Linked DNA regions of Oreochromis niloticus. The protein of the gene in region 1 binds, or shares a complex with, the protein of each later gene. Links are inferred from orthologs where the notes say so. Each region holds a gene or a part of one and is shown on either strand. Other genes may lie near its edges.

The links. The genes of interacting proteins can lie anywhere in the genome.
Region 2: the proteins of ube2f (region 1) and dcun1d3 are in contact, whole or in part, in a crystal structure (PDB 4GBA), measured with the Homo sapiens proteins. The link is inferred for Oreochromis niloticus from reciprocal best matches to the Homo sapiens genes UBE2F and DCUN1D3. Residues at the interface, in NP_001265234.1 of Homo sapiens: Leu2, Thr3, Leu4, Lys7, Leu8; in NP_775746.1 of Homo sapiens: Glu108, Glu109, Glu112, Pro122, Thr123, Glu124, Met139, Cys140, Glu194, Ile204, Ala207, Leu208.

What each region holds. Positions count from the first base shown.
Region 1 is NC_031987.2:3,580,190-3,587,975, forward strand, and holds the start of ube2f (NEDD8-conjugating enzyme UBE2F), read right to left. Parts: upstream 3,012-7,786; 5' UTR 2,779-3,011; intron 2,283-2,778; 5' UTR 2,099-2,282; intron 1-2,098. UniProt on the Homo sapiens protein: Accepts the ubiquitin-like protein NEDD8 from the UBA3-NAE1 E1 complex and catalyzes its covalent attachment to other proteins. Together with the E3 ubiquitin ligase RNF7/RBX2, specifically neddylates cullin-5 (CUL5).
Region 2 is NC_031973.2:19,637,916-19,645,917, reverse strand, and holds the start of dcun1d3 (DCN1-like protein 3), read left to right. Parts: upstream 1-5,000; 5' UTR 5,001-5,535; intron 5,536-5,563; exon of another isoform or gene 5,564-5,776; intron 5,777-6,584; 5' UTR 6,585-6,647; intron 6,648-7,521; 5' UTR 7,522-7,572; intron 7,573-7,682; 5' UTR 7,683-7,792; coding exon 7,793-8,002. Other genes in the region: lyrm1 (LYR motif containing protein 1), read right to left, coding at 2,040-2,153, 2,234-2,265, 2,860-2,920, 3,033-3,191. UniProt on the Homo sapiens protein: Contributes to the neddylation of all cullins by transferring NEDD8 from N-terminally acetylated NEDD8-conjugating E2s enzyme to different cullin C-terminal domain-RBX complexes and may play a role in the cell cycle progression by regulating the SCF ubiquitin E3 ligase complex, after UV damage.

The sequences.
Region 1 (7,786 bases):
CAGCATCCTCCACTGTCACACCAACCCTCTGCATGTCTTCCTTCAATACATCCATAAACCACCTCTGTGGTCTTTCTCTTTTCCTCCTGTCTCATAGCTCCATATTAAACATCCATTGGACAATATTCCCATTGTCCCTCCTCTGTACATGTCCAAATCATCTCATCAACTTTGTCTCCAACCTGATGTGTGCCTCTCATGAACTCATTTCTAATCTTGTCCATTCTGGTCACCCGCAATGAAAATTTGCCACCTCCAGGCCGGCCTTCTGTCTTATTGTCAGTGCCACCATGTCAAGCTACAGATCCTAGCAGGTCTCACTACCATCTTGTAAAACCTCCCTTTTATTCCTGCAGCTCTCCTGTCACAAATTACCCCTGACATCCATCTCCACCCACTCCACTCAACCTGCACTCGCTTCTTCATCTCTCTTGTGGACTGTCTGTTGCACTGAATGGCTGACCCCCCCATTTAAACTCATCTACCTTCATCACCTCTGCTACTTCACCCTTACATCCATCTCCCTCTCATTCACATGTATTCTGTCTTGCTTCTACTGACTTTCATTCTTGAGACCATAGCTTCACCTATCCAGGCTCTCTTCCACTTGATCCCTACCTACTCTCACTACAGATCACAGTCATCTGTAATCATCACAGTCCATGGGTGGATGGTCAGCCTGTCCATCACCACTGCAAACAAGAAGAGCTGATCCCTGAAGTAAACTCACCCGACCTTGAACCCATCTGTCACTCCTACTGCACACCTCACCACCATCTTGCTGACCTCATACAGGTCCTGCACCACCCTTACATCCTTCTTTGCCAGTCCTCACTTCCTCATGCAGCACCACAGTTCCTCTCTGGACACCCTATCATATGCTTCCCCTAGAACATTAAAGACTTAGTGAAGCTCCTTCTGACGTTATCTATTCTTCCCCATCAACACTCTCAAAACAAACATCACATCTGTAGTAACGTTACTTGTTAACTGCAGTTATTCAAACATTCACACTGGTTTCCTCCCACAGTCTAAAATTGAGGACAAAAATTCAAAACTTCTCATGTAACTGTGGTTTAAAACATAATGCTGTTACAATCATGCACATACAGGTAACACAGAGAATAGAGAGGAGCAAACACACGGATCACAGCTCTTTCAAGGTAAATTGCATCAAAGGCAAACAGTAAAAAGTCTTCTCTATTTTTTCACAGAAAATTAGTACTACTACATATTACATACATCACTACAACTACTGTGAAAAAATGATTTTAAACTCGTTCATATGTAATCCATCTTAATTGCAACTCATAAGTAGTAATGGATAAACCTCATCATTCCTTTGCGTCTTAATTCATCTTTTTGCATACTTCCTGTGGCAAAACACTGACATATGAGACAATTTCATAATGGTGAAATATTAAAAAGAATGATATTAGAAAACCCAACTCACTGCAATTCCGAATGATGTGCAGAGACGTGCCGAAAAAGTTTTGAATTATAGATATGTTAAATATTATTTCCTGCACAATCATGCTTTTGATCTCGTAGCTACCATCTGGTTGCAGAGAAGGTGTGAATTTAGTGTGAATTTAGTGTGAATTTAGTGGGGGAGGATTCAAAGGTAACTCAAAAACAGGATCTAGTCTCGCACAACACAACATTTCCATCAACAGAAGGAAATCTTACTGCACACATTCCTTCTGTGTGATAAGCAGGTCAAGACATCATGGAGTGTTATATTTCTTTCAGGGTCACTACTCGTACAGTACAGTCCACAGTCAGTCATGGGCTGGAAGTTTTCATGACGAGAAAACAGATGGACCTTGAATCCAGGAACACAGATATACTGTAAACAAACAGTGTCTGAGGCGGAATGTGACCCTGGCTGTTAAGGGTAAATCATCAGTGGGTCACACTGAGGACAGCACTGGCTTGCTGTCATTTGGCCTATCTTATCTTTTTCCTGACAGGTTACATTTTTTTATCTGGAACATCATGAGACATTGCAAATGCAATATTTGTCCTCCGCTCTCATCTGACATCAGACTCAATCGTTTTGGTCTTTTGAAAACATCATGTGCCACGGTGCTCTTACTGTGATACTGCTTCACAGACAGCGCAGGCTGCAGCTCCCGGTCAGTGTGAATCCAGTCTGAACGATGTGGGAAGCAGAGAGGTATCAACTATCAGCGGACCGTGAAATGTGTGTCACTGCGCCTGAGTCAAGGCCCACCTGCCTCAGCTGTCACTCACTGCTGCACCTCCTTGACACATAGTACCTGGATGCCGGTCAAACAGTAAGCAGGCAACATATGACACATCTGTCAGTCCTACCGCAGTTCCAGCGATCAGCGAAATTGAAAATGTAAATCCCAAACTTCCCCAAAACCCAAAACCCAAACCGAACGTGACCCAAACTAGAAGGAGCCGGCTCCCTTCTTATAGCACCCAAACCAAACAGGGGTGTAGTCCACGAGTTAAACCTTTGTGCGGGGCTGAAAGTGATTCAAACACATTCAGGACTCGTACTAAAACTTTTCAGAGTGAAGTCACTGCCTCGTCTCCGAGCTGTGGGCTGCTGTGCAACCGTAAAATAACAACAACAAATGGCTCACACTGCTCAGCACGGCTAGCTGGACACTATGTCCAAGCTCATAAGCAGCCTCGGCTCGAGGTTATTCCTCTCTAAAAGTAGATGGGAGCAGCTGTACAGCTGAAAGTTGCCCGCAAAGTCTGTGTGCTAACTGCTGTTAGCCTGTGTGTGATCTGTGTTACCTGCTGTCTCAGAGCTAGCGCTCCGCGCTACACCATAATCAGCCGCCCCTCCTCTGCTCGGGCCGCAGTCTGCAACTCCAGCCGAGGGTCGTAGCAGCTCCGTGCGCCTGTAAATAACCTCAAAAATGACGCCCTGGAGGCACGAAATGGATATGAACTGATTTAGGAATCAGCTGTCAGAACTTCGCTCCGGTGTCATGGGCAACGGAAGTGCAGTGAGTAGTTTACTTTATTGTTGTCCGTGTAGACACTGCAGCTGATAAATAGTTCCGCAGGGCGGCAGCCGTCTTCTCGTCCGTTCTAGTAAGTTCCAGTTTAAAATGAGCAGTAGATGATATGATTATTTAAAAAATTAATTACAGAAATAATTTAACATTACACTGGTATATTATTTGTACATCTGCACGTGCATTAAATTTATGTCATTAACTACAGCAGCATTTCTTTGTCATGTTGAAAAACTGAGACGTACATTTTAAAAGTGTATGTCTTTTTTCTTATATTGAGATCTTCCAGGGATTCATTGTGCAGTTAAACTAAAGATCAGAGTGGGCTGTAGTTTGAGTTTGACACTGTTTCTCTAAAAGGACTTGGCAATGAGTAAAATATTTCCACTTCTCCACAAATAATGTGTGTTTATATATAATTATGAGCTGCATGTAACCAGATATATTGTTTTCAATGGAGTCAAAAATGGGAAACATTTAATTGTTTTTATTTGATGAAAAGACGGGATACATTTTTGTTCTGCACGCACACTATAAATACTAGTCCTCGCATAAATTCAGTGATTCTTTATCAAAGTACAGACCTGCCACAGCTTAATGCCTCTGCATTTTTTCAGACTTAAGGTATATATTTGACCTTCTTCTTCCTCCTCCCCGTCTTCCTCAGTAGCACAATCCTTACTCACTGCCTTGAAATGACTTCATCATAACTGGAGCCTGAGTCTGAAGGGCTTTCAGGGAAAAATCTCAGTCAGCCTGAGTACTGCACTCACCTTTCTTTTGACATGACATAAGATAACTTTGCCACCCTGACGGTATACATGTTTCAATATAGCTATAATGTACTTATATACTTGTGCTAATAACATGTTTGTAATATGAGCAGTGAATATTAACATGTCAACCATGAACATTTGAAACTACATTTTAAATAAAGCATATCAGCCATCTTATTCTGGCAAAGCATCACCTGTTTTCAAAATTAATCAATAACTCAATATTTTTTTTACCATTATACTTCATCAACACTCTAAAACAAGAGTGTTTCTGAGGAACCAAGTTGTGTGATCCATAATGCATGTACAAGATACATTTTAAAGGGTTTGAAAAATGTAAACTCATGAGAAGAAAGAAAAGGAGAAACGTTGTATAGACAAAGAGGAGTAAATGCAGTCATGTGACCAATGGGAAACTAGGACACGGTGCAGTTTGTGGATTGAGTGAAACAGTGGAGCATCTTTGATTAACATATGTAAAATATCAGTAAGTAAAAGAAAACACTGAACAAAAGTGGAGAAATACACGAGTGCAAGTGAATAGTTTCAATATGTGTTTGTTGATACAAAACAGCTGCAGTCTTTTTATGAGGAGGCTGGAATCACTTACACTCGGGCCATGTGGATAATTAAATACACCTACAGGTCCTTCTGCACTATTAATTTGGTTGAAGTCTGGACTTTGCAGCACCGGATGCCTCGCTTTTCACTCTAGAATACTTTAGCATACGGAGGAGCTCATGGTCGAATCAGTTGCTGCAAGGTGCCCAGGGACTGTCCCGGCAAAGCAAGCCCAAATCATCACCCTCTCAGCACTGGGCTTGACACTTGGAATGAGGTGTTTGTGCTGATGTGTTGTGTTTGTTTTTCCACATGTGGTGCTATGTTATAGACAAACATCTCCACTTTGGTCTCATCTGTCTAAAGCAAACTTTTCCAGAAGTTTGGGTTTGTTCAGAAGCAACTGAAAGATGAGGCTTTCTCCTCGTAACCCTTTCAAATATTGTTTGGTCTTTTTCTAATTGTAATGTAATGAACTTTAATGTCTAAGAACTGCGCAAACAATGTACAAAGCAGCAAATAAATCTTTGCCCCACAACATTCAGAAGTTCTTCCAAATAAGACAAAATACTCATGACCTGAGAGGAATCCTTATGTTCAGCAAGCCAGCAGTAGGGACAAATGTAAATAAAAGAGCATTACAGTCACATGAGTTAGTGTGTGGAACACCTGTACAGATGAAATCAAGAAAAGTACATCAATACACAAATTCACACGATTGTTTAAAAATAATAAATTGCATTAATATAGGAAATATTCCTCTCAGTGACTGAGTTGTCTCATTGTGCTCTATTGAAGCCTTGTCCTCCTTTTTATAGATCAAAGCCAGAGTAACCCAAGCTTAAAGCGCTCATTAAGGTATCTGTAACATAGATATAAAATAGGCTCAGAGATTAAGCAGGTGTTAACCACAGCGTGCTTAGTTTATGTAAAAATGTAGTTTGTTATTGTTTCGGTTTAAGTGCTGAAATTGTTTTATGTGTTGTATATGAGTGCAGACTTGTATATAGTTAAACATGTACGGATCATATAATGTCGAATTCTGAATGTGGATTTGTAAGTAATAAAAGTTGAAATACGGGGGTAGGAACAGGAAAAGTGTAGACTTCATCCTACTCTGAGCACACTCATTCTGTAGACATAGATATATACATGAAACTTGATGGTTTTTAAGTTTTGTTTTTTCTTGTTTCTCTTGTTATTTCAGATATATCTGCATGTTCAAATTAAAATCCTATCTATCTATCTATCTATCTATCTATCTATCTATCTATCTATCTATCTATCTATCTATCTATCTATCTATCTATCTATCTATCTGTCTGTCTGTCTATCTGTCTATCTATCTATCTATCTATCTATCTATCTATCTATCTATCCATCTATCTATCTATCTATCTATCTATCTATCTATAAAATACTAACTGAGGCCTGTACAGTCTGAGATGTAGTTCTTGGGTTTTCTCCCCATCGTTGCAGAGTCTGACCGTTGGGGATGTCTCAGGAGGAAGAGCAGCTCCGCCTAGGAAGATTGTAGGATTGGATTTGCAGCACCTGTCTGATACTTTTCCTCTTAATCCCTTTGGAAGCTGTAAGGATGCTCCATAAAGTCCTGTGCAAACCTTTCTGACTGTAAATGCAAAGATAAAGAGAAATCACAGAAAAATTAAAAATGTAGTATTCTTTGTGAAGGTGTTCTCTTGCATTGCAGTGCAGGGCAAAGGTTCATAAATTCAAATGTTAGGATGCTTATGAAGAAGCATCTATGTATGAAATGAAAACCTCCTGTTTGCCATGTCTGCACAAAGACACACAAACACACTCAGAAATATAAAGCGGAGCATTTGCTGTTTGACAGAACGTATTTTTCTTGGAGCAAACCCAGTTCGCCCTAAAGTATTTGGACAAAACTGTGATTCACTCGGCCAGTTGTTGTAGGAACGAGGGTGGTGCTGTCACTGTAAACAAGCGCATGCTCTTGACTGACCCGTCTGATTAGATAAGGGTCTTAAAAAAAGAGGGGCATATTAATCTTGCAGCGGGTGTGCGTTCTGTTTTTCATCTACATGTGTTTAGACAGGTGTTGGCCATCAGGCTTTCTGGCCAAAGGATTTACCCCGTGACTGTGTGACGTTCACATCCTCGCTTCACACAACGCGTTTGTTATTCAGAGGATGTCCAGTAACAACAAAGCGTACATCTGTATTTATTTGTGGGAGTGTTGGTGCTTCATTGTAGAGATCGAGAACCAAAGTAAATAAATAAATATTTATAATGAATAGTGTAAAAATTACACTCGAACCCAGAGCAAATAAATACCCTCATAAATCAATGAGAGTTTTAGCCTAAAGAGAGAGCAAGAGATCAAGAACACACACTAAAGAAATGGACAAATTAGACTTTCGGTCCTTAAATGACCCCAATCCAGTACTGAAAATCAAGGCATTTACTAAAATTATGTATACTGTCACGTCAGGGCCTCAGATATGGGCAGAAATCTGTGCCATCAGAAACTGAATTTGAATAAGTTAAATTTGAATTTGAATTACTCGGATTGAATCTGAATTGTAACTTGAATGAAAGCTTTTGAAAACTGAATTTGAATTAGTCTAATTTGAAATTGAATTTATGGTTTGAAACTGCATTTTATCCTTTAAAAATTCAGCTCTCGAATAATTTCACATTCACTTCTCACCATTCAGTTTCAGTTCTACAATTCAATTTCAGTTCCAAAATTCAGTTTTTTGGGACTTACATCCGGTTCCGGTTCAAGCGCAGATTAATAGAACTACAGACTGATAGCGTTACTGACGGAATCTACAGCGTCTTGAGCTGAATTAAGACTTCAGAAGTCATTCGTCATGTCGAATGACCAGCGGATAAACTCTCAGGTTGGTAATAAATGTATTACATGTATAAGAACAAGCGTCATGTTAACAATTGATAGCCGTACAGTAACCTTTATGCTTATTGTAGCTGCTAGCTAAAAACGCTAATTTAGCCTAGTTTGCCCTGGATTCAGCTTTGACAGACAAATATGATCGACTGTTTCTAGTAGAATTCCAAAGTTGTCATCTTGTACCCTCTCAGAGCCCTGTATGCTTGCAGAGACCCCTACAGTAAGGAAACATGCAAAACGCTGTCCAAACCTTTGTATTTGAGCTTTATTTATGTCTTACACAGCATCCCAACTCTTTAGCGAACTTAATAACTTTAGCTAAAGTGAATAGTTAGTCTTATTCATTAGTGCAGCGTTACTGGATCACCTCTGTTTGAAGTGATATAATATGATATACAACTATCACTGTGTTTAACTATCATAATAATTCTTAGGGTACTGAGTGCATGCTTAATTAGATTTTTTTTTTTAAAACATACTGCTCCATTGCTATGTTTGACAGGCTGAAGTTGTCGGGTCACCTCCTAAATCGACCATCTTTTACA
Region 2 (8,002 bases), on another chromosome or scaffold:
CCTGATTTCCTATTTTTTATATGCTTGTTACACCGAAATGTTTTACATCATCAAAGAAATTTAACTATTAGACAAAGATAACACAAGTAAACACAAAATGCAGTTTCTAAATAAATGTGTTTATTGTTAAGGAGGAGAAAAAAATCTAAACTTACATGGCCCTGTGTGAACATGTGATTGCCCCCACCTTGTAAAAACAATGGTTAACTGTGATTAACCACATCTTTTACAAAGTTGAGTTCAGTTTCACACCAAGGCCTGATTACTGCCAGACCTGCTGAATTAAGAAATCACCTAAATAAAACCTTTCTGACAACTGAAGAGATCTCAAAAAAAGCAGAACTTTTTGGGAGGTTTGAGTCCCGTTACATGTGGCATAAAACTAACACAGCATTTCAGAAAAGGAATGTCATACCAATAATAAAATGTGGTAGTAGTGTGATGGTCTGGGGCTGTTTTGCTGCCTCTGAACCTGGAAGACGTGCTGTGGTAAATGAAACCATGAATTCTGCTGTCTATCAAAACATCCTGAAGGTGAATGTCCGGTCATCTGTTTGTGACCTCAAGCTGAAGGGCACCTGGGTTCTGCAGCAGGACATTGATACAAAACACACCAGCAAGTCCACGTCTGAATGGCTGAAGAAAAACAAAATGAAGCCTTTGGAGTGGCCTCAAAGTCAAAGTCCTGACCTGAATCTGATTGAGATGCTGTGGCATGACCTTAAAAAGGCGGTTCATGCTCGAAAACCCTCCAGTGTGGCTGAATTACAACAATTCTGCAAAGATGAATGGGCCAAAATTCCTCCACAGCTCTGTAAAAGACTCATTGCTAGTTCTTACAAATACCTGATTGCAGCTGTTGCTGCTAAGGGTGGCCCAACCGGTTATTAGGTTTAGGGGGCAATCGCTTTTTCACACAGGGCCATGTAGGTATGGATTTTTTTTTCCCTTTTAATAATAAACAACTTCATTTACAAACTGCATTTTGTGTTTACTTGTGTTATCTATGTGCAATATTTACATGATGATCTAAAATCATTTAAGTGTGACAAGCATATAAAAAATAGGAAATCAGGAAGGAGGCAAACACTTTTTCACACCACCATAACACAGAAATATTTTCCCTTTTAAAGATGAACAAGCTTCCTCTTGTTGATAAAACATTGATTGTTTGCTGTAAAGTTGATTGGCTTTCTTGGATTATTAATTCAAATCACAATTTCATCATTTATTGTGCATTTAATGTATTTTATAAACTGCACATGAGTCACTATGCATAATACCTGCTGTCCGTGAATGAGAGGTGTTCATTGATCAGAGCAAGTAAACTTTTAAAGAGAGCAGAATATTTGTGATCATTTTACAGCGAGAGCGAATGCTCTTTAGTCTGTGCTGAAAAATGACTCGGTATTCAGTCAACAATAACATGAGTCATATTAGACATGGATCACTGACCCCACCTGCAGGTCATTGCCACTATAATCAATATGCGAGTTATCCCCAAATGGAATTGAAAGCGATGCACGCCCCGAGCTGTTCTTCCTCTGTATTCTCTGTGTCATTATTATGGGGGGACTGAGGTAAATAAAAAATATCAAAGCAAACTGCTCTCATAGCATTCTGGGTTTTTTACGAGAAAACAGTTTTTTTTACTAACAAAACAGATTATTAGAGAATATTTAGTGAATTTCATGATTTCGGACAGTGAGTTTAAAAGAGTCTGGAAATCCTTCACATTGAGACACTTTTATTAATCAAATGAACTCAACGATAAATAAAACATACAAACTTGTATGATATTACAAAGTGGTACAGTGGGAGCTTTCCTGAGCTGAAAGGAATCTGACGCTCTTCACCTACAGTTACAACTCATGATTGTGTTTTGAAAAAGAAAAAGAAAATACAATGAAAAGTGGCTTTATCCTGAATGACGTGCGTTCCTGCATCATTGAGTGCTTGCAGCATCTCGACTGCAACAGCACTCTAGTTTTCTCTCCTTGGTAACTTGAACTCTTGACGAAGATCGGGGATGTCGAGCATCAGGTCTCATCATGTGACTGTAAGTAAATTGGTTTGGCCTGTTTCCTCAGGCGCTGCTGTGCTCGCAGCTTCCTGCCCTTCTGAGTTGCCAGTCCCATGGGTGGTAGATACGTCTGCAACACACAGAGTATGCAAATAAAATTCCCCCAAAACAACATGACCCATTATGGTCTAATAAAGGGTAATTACTTACAGCTCTTGGATATGGATTTCTGTAATGAAGACCTTTAAAAAACATAAAAAAATAACAATGTGTCAGTGACATCAAACTATAAACAAATTATAAAATGAAAGCCAAGAAAAATTATTGTTTGGGTAAGTATGTAAGAGCACAACATAGCACTTTTCTCATCCTGTTACTGCAGGATTGCATTGTTATTTTTTTTTCCTCTGCAGTTTCAACCATGATTATTTTTATCCAAATCATTCAGGTCATCAGGTCAGCTTTGCTGCTTACTCACGCTTGACATGCTGAAAACCTTTCAACTGACAAAGAATCAGTGTGTGATGTGTAAGAGTTGCATAATCGCAGCATTGTATTATTGTTAACCTTTTCAGAATGTTTGTGCAAGTCAGATGTTTCAGTACATTCAGTCAACAACACCATTCTGCATGCTTTCAGGCTGAAGACAACAAGCATAAAAACATCCCAAAAATCACTGATACAACTGAGCTAGAAAGGTTACGTACTATCAATATATTTCCCTGAGAAACATGAAAATAAAAAACAAATGGTGTTGCTACTATTTTGGCCTCTTGACATGCTCACTACAGCCAGACATAAAAAAACAACAACTTGCTACTTTTCTCCATTCTTACCGATTTCTATCCTCGCTTCACATTCCTCTATGCACTTTTTTATTGATTCTTGTTCTGTGAGCTGAAAAACAAAACAACACACAAAAACAAAAAAAGCAGAAGTCTTAAAGATGCTATAAAGCCATTTTTTCTTTTTTTCAAATCCGTATTAGTGAGCAGAGTGTTGTTCACACCTTTTGGTTCTGTCTGAAAAGAGTGCGGGCCTCCTGCAGTATGTACTTCCTCTCTGTCTCCGTGTCACTCAGAACACCACTCTGTGCTTGCCAGGTTCGGGCGATGCGAAAAACACGCATGTACAGTGACAGCACAGTGGTACGGGTGGAGGCAGTCATCAGGGCTCAGAATCTGAGAAAAAAAACAAAAGATACCTGCAAAATAAAGTTTTTACTGCATTATCTGTTTGTGTTCTGTCCACGGTGTACCCCATTTCATGCCCCTGAATTAGATAAGCTGAAGATGGATGGATGGATGCTCTTTACTTACAGCCTTTATTACGCAATTATACCACTGGTGGTTAGTTAGCTAGATGTGACATTACTTATTGCTCTTTTCTTCAACTACTAGGAATTTAATTAAGAGCTTTACTGCACAATTAAGACATGAAGTACGTTATAACGAGTAACATAATAATAATATGCATGCTAAGCAAGCAACTAGTAAATGAATATATGAACATCTTTCCAGTACCGTGCAAAAGTCTTGAGTTTAATCTAATAAAAATGTCAAGGATAACACAGCATCTTTGCATCAACAAGGTGATTCCCGACGAGCGATTAGCTGAAAACTTGGCATAGATCTGCATGGTGTCCAATGTGTCCATAAAAAATTGAGGAAACTAAATTGTTGTAAGATGAAAATATCCCTTAAAAACTATCTAGAGCAGGTGAACAGTATCTGAACGTCATGTCCTTAAGAAATAGGGGAAAAAAATCCAGTATGACCAGACAGAGGACCTGAGAGATGCATCTGGCCCATTAGTTGATCCATCAACTGTCCACTGAAGCTACATTTGAAATGGTCTCAAGAAACCTGGGGTATGCCAAATTACACAAGAACTGGACTGAAAAATCAGTGGCAACAGGGCTTAATGGAGTGAGGAATCCAAATTCTCAAATTCATTTACAAATCATTGTCACTCTATGTACAAAGGAGGTCAGTAGAGAACAATGACAGTGAGTGTCTACAGCTGTCTGTGAAATGCCATGGATTGGCCGCCAGAGCATGGACCACAATATGACTGAAACAGTGTGGGAGAACAGAAAATAAAAAAAATAATAAAAAAAGAGATTTGAATGTCCTTGAAGACGCCTGGAGAACTTTTCCTGGAGACTACTTAATAAAATGGCAAGTTAGCTGACTAAGAGACTTCAGGATGTTGCGTTGAAGAATAAAGGTGGTCATATCAAATATTGACCTTCAAGGCCTGCAAAACTCGGTTTAGCCTGTATTTCTATTATATAAATAATATAAATTATTTCAAATTTTCCTTGCAAAATATAAAGAAAAGACTTTTGCAAAGTACTGTAGTTTTAGATTTTTAAATTATAGCTAAATATAATAGCCCTATTCAACGCTAGATGCCACTAAAATCAACACTGAGTTATTAAACAAAGTGTTACATGACTGACGGAGAGGTATTAACTGTATGTTCTAGTATGCGCGGAGACTGAATGACGCTGTATATTAAATAAAACCATTCTTGTTATTTGTACTCACTGATGTTTTAGCATCAATTGCAAACTTGAAGCTAGCCCTTATTGTGACTGACCAAAACGTACAAAGACAGGGACATTAAATTAAAGTCAACGTTACTGCCTGTCACATTAACAGCTTTTAATCGAATATTCGCTCATCATAATTTAATTAACACTACAAACGAAGAATTGACATACCGCCTGTGTCTGAAGAAGAGGATAGTTTACCAGCCGCTTGCTAGGACAGTCGCCTAATGATGACGCGTACCCATGGCTAATCGGGAAGAAGCTAAATAATAAACACAAACATAAAAGAGTTCACATACTTTTAGTCAAAGTTGTATTTGTTTCACTTGTTAGTGGATAAAAAGTAGAAATAAGGCAGAAATTAATATAAACACCTCTACAGTTCAATGTGTATGAGCAATTGTAATTAATTTACAGTGGGGTTTTTGAGTCATTTTTCATTTCGGATATTACTGTGATCTACAAAACATCCACTTTGTCCTTGTCATATGAATACTTCCATCAATTGGTTAAAAAAAAGGATGTATGTTAGTGTCGCAGACGCGAGGATCAGCTGTTGGGTGCTTGTAAGCAGGGAGGAAGTGATGCAGGAAAATGTCCATAATGTAGCTCCACTCAATGACTAAAAGGGGGAAGCACAAAGAAATTGGGTGCTTTAGTCCGAGCTGGCGTTTTAACTCACACCTAACAGCGAACACAACTGAAGATGGACTCTAAAGCTAGTTGCTAGCTTGTTACTTATTTATTTTCTAAGCGTGGAACAGAATTCAACATTGATGTGGAAGTTTTTTTTTTTTTTTGATCAGCTGCTAGCTAGTTAGCTAGCAATCTGAGTTAACGCGACGAGTTTGCTTCAGTTCGTATTTTTTGGCTAACTTGTTTAACTACTTAATTTCTTCAGCCATTCACAAAGTGATGTACATCCACATTCGACCGAATGTGTTTTCCCCTAAAGGTAAGTTTTTTCACGGTGATAATTTTGTTATTTCTTGATGTCTTAATCGAAAAATACCTAGCATAGCCGAGAGCTAACTTTTAGTTAATCGAGCTGATGCTAGCTAGCTATGACGACGTCGCCAGGGCCGGGCAGTTGGGATGGAGCTGTTAAATGGCCCGGTGCGGTGATCTAATGTGGCTCAATAGCAGCGTAACAACGACTGCCATCTGAATTTGTGTGTAATAGTTACAAGTCCGAGGTGCGGGTGATTATTTAATGCCGGTTTACACTATATTTTTGAGTGTTGTACTTGTGTTGTTATGCTCACCCGCCCAACAAACGTTAACTTGTTTGAAATAATATTATTGTAGATGTTAGTAAAGGGCAGCTGAGGATATATCGATATAACAGTGTTGCATATGTAACACAGTCGTATTCCAGTTCACCTCGGGACGAGCTAATAATCTGGTTAAACTACTGGCTGTATAGGTCACTAGGCTGCTTAGTGTTTACTAACTCCCGTGCCAGCTTATTGTGGATTATATTTGGCCAAATAAGCAAAATCTAATAAATAGAAATTCAGACGGCCATCTGAGCTTAGTTAGGTGAACTTGGCCACAGCAGACCTGAGAGAGATTTGCCCCTACATGCCCCATGTATTGATCAGGACTGGCTTTTTGCCCTGATGTTGAATACATGCATTAAATATGAAGTCAAGGGTCGTATCTCTGTTAGGTCAGTGATCACTGCAAAAAGTAGAAGTTGGTTTGAGAAGTTTCCTGAAGTTGTAGCTTTTACATCACAAACTGGAATATTGCGGCCCTTTTGAGATGTAGTTCCTTAAAACCAAACGTGTCAAAGCTCAGCTTTTCACAGTTCACAGTATGCAACATAGCTGACTTCTTTCCAGTTCTAAACAAGTAAATGAAAAATCCTGAAACAAGGCTAACTCTTTGCAAGTCCTCAAATGACATATTCATAGCATGTCGACCAAAATAGACCTGCAGGTTTGGGAATGATGAGCTATCACTTTCTGCTTATGATGACAAGATAATGTGTCTTTTCAGCATTGTGGATGGCAAGGTCACAATGATGGAGCTCAGTAGAAAGACAATGCCATCTGAAGGATTGTAAGTCAGCTATTTTATAAGTTATCAGACACATGATCACCTCATGTTTTTCCGTCAGCAGACTGATTAATTTCATTAACATGCATTCATCAAAGAAACAATTTTTTAAGTTAAATGGGTAGGTAGAGAAAGCAGTTTACAAAGCAAGCTTTAGTTTGATTAATGTAAACTCCAGTTTAGTTGCAACTTGGTCAGGATTTCATAATCTTGTATGCCTTTTGTGTTTTTGCCACATTTTACTTGTTAGAAAACCTAGAAAGTCCTGTATACTAACTTGCAAGATTCAAAATATTAGTATAAAAAAATGCGAACTATCTGGAGCCAGTGTAATTAACATATGTTGCTGTAAAATCCTAAAGAGACATGGATAACCATAGTAGCCCTGTATTCTTTGTCAATGTTTGGTGTTTCCAGTGTTTTTATTTTTCATCTGCTTTCATTATTGCTAGTAGAGAATGAAGAAACAATATGGTGCAATAATCTACTGCTTAGTATAAAACGAGGTAAAACTTCCTCTGTTCAAAGAGAACCCCCCCCCCTCCACACACACACACACCGTTAATGTGAACACAGCACAGAGGATGACCTATAAATGCAGTTATTTGTATCACAATATTTATAGAACTGTATTCCTATTTTAATTACCTATAACTAACTACCTATAACTATGGTGATACCAAGAAAAGCTCCTACAGCCGTCATATAAGAGTTATATAGGTCTTCTGACTTAACACATAACCCACTGGTAGGTTTCTGTGGTTAAGGGTGATACTCCTCTTGTACTACTTTTGACAAGGTTTCTATGGTAACCTGAACAGTGTTTAAGCATTGTATTCATGCCTATAGATTATTTTTGTTTTGCTTTGTTTTTCAGGGTTTTTAAATCTTCCCATTGAAGACTTGGATCGTGGTAGATTTAGCAGAGGTAGCTTGACATCTTCTGTGTTTCTCTGTACTAATATCCACTTTTTAACTTTTTTGTTGAGAGTTGCGGGGTGTAACTTCTTTATTTCTTAATAATGTTCTTCCCCTCAGGCTTGAGGGTATGTTGAGACGTCTTGTGAGGCCAGAGAAGAGGCGTCTAGGTGGTTCAGACGGGGACTGAAGGCGAGGAGGAAAGACAGACGAGGGACCGGGAGGAAGACATGGGCCAGTGTGTCACCAAGTGTAAGAATCCGACGTCCTCGCTCGGCAGCAAGAGTGGAGACAAGGAAAGCGGAGGAAAGTCCCACAAGAAAGGTGGCAGCGCTGGTGGTGTCGGGGGCCACAAAGAGGATCCTGGCACCCAGTGTAGCAAAGCCACCAATGAGCTGTCGAATGGCACCAAACCTTTAGAGGTCACAGTGGAGACGCCC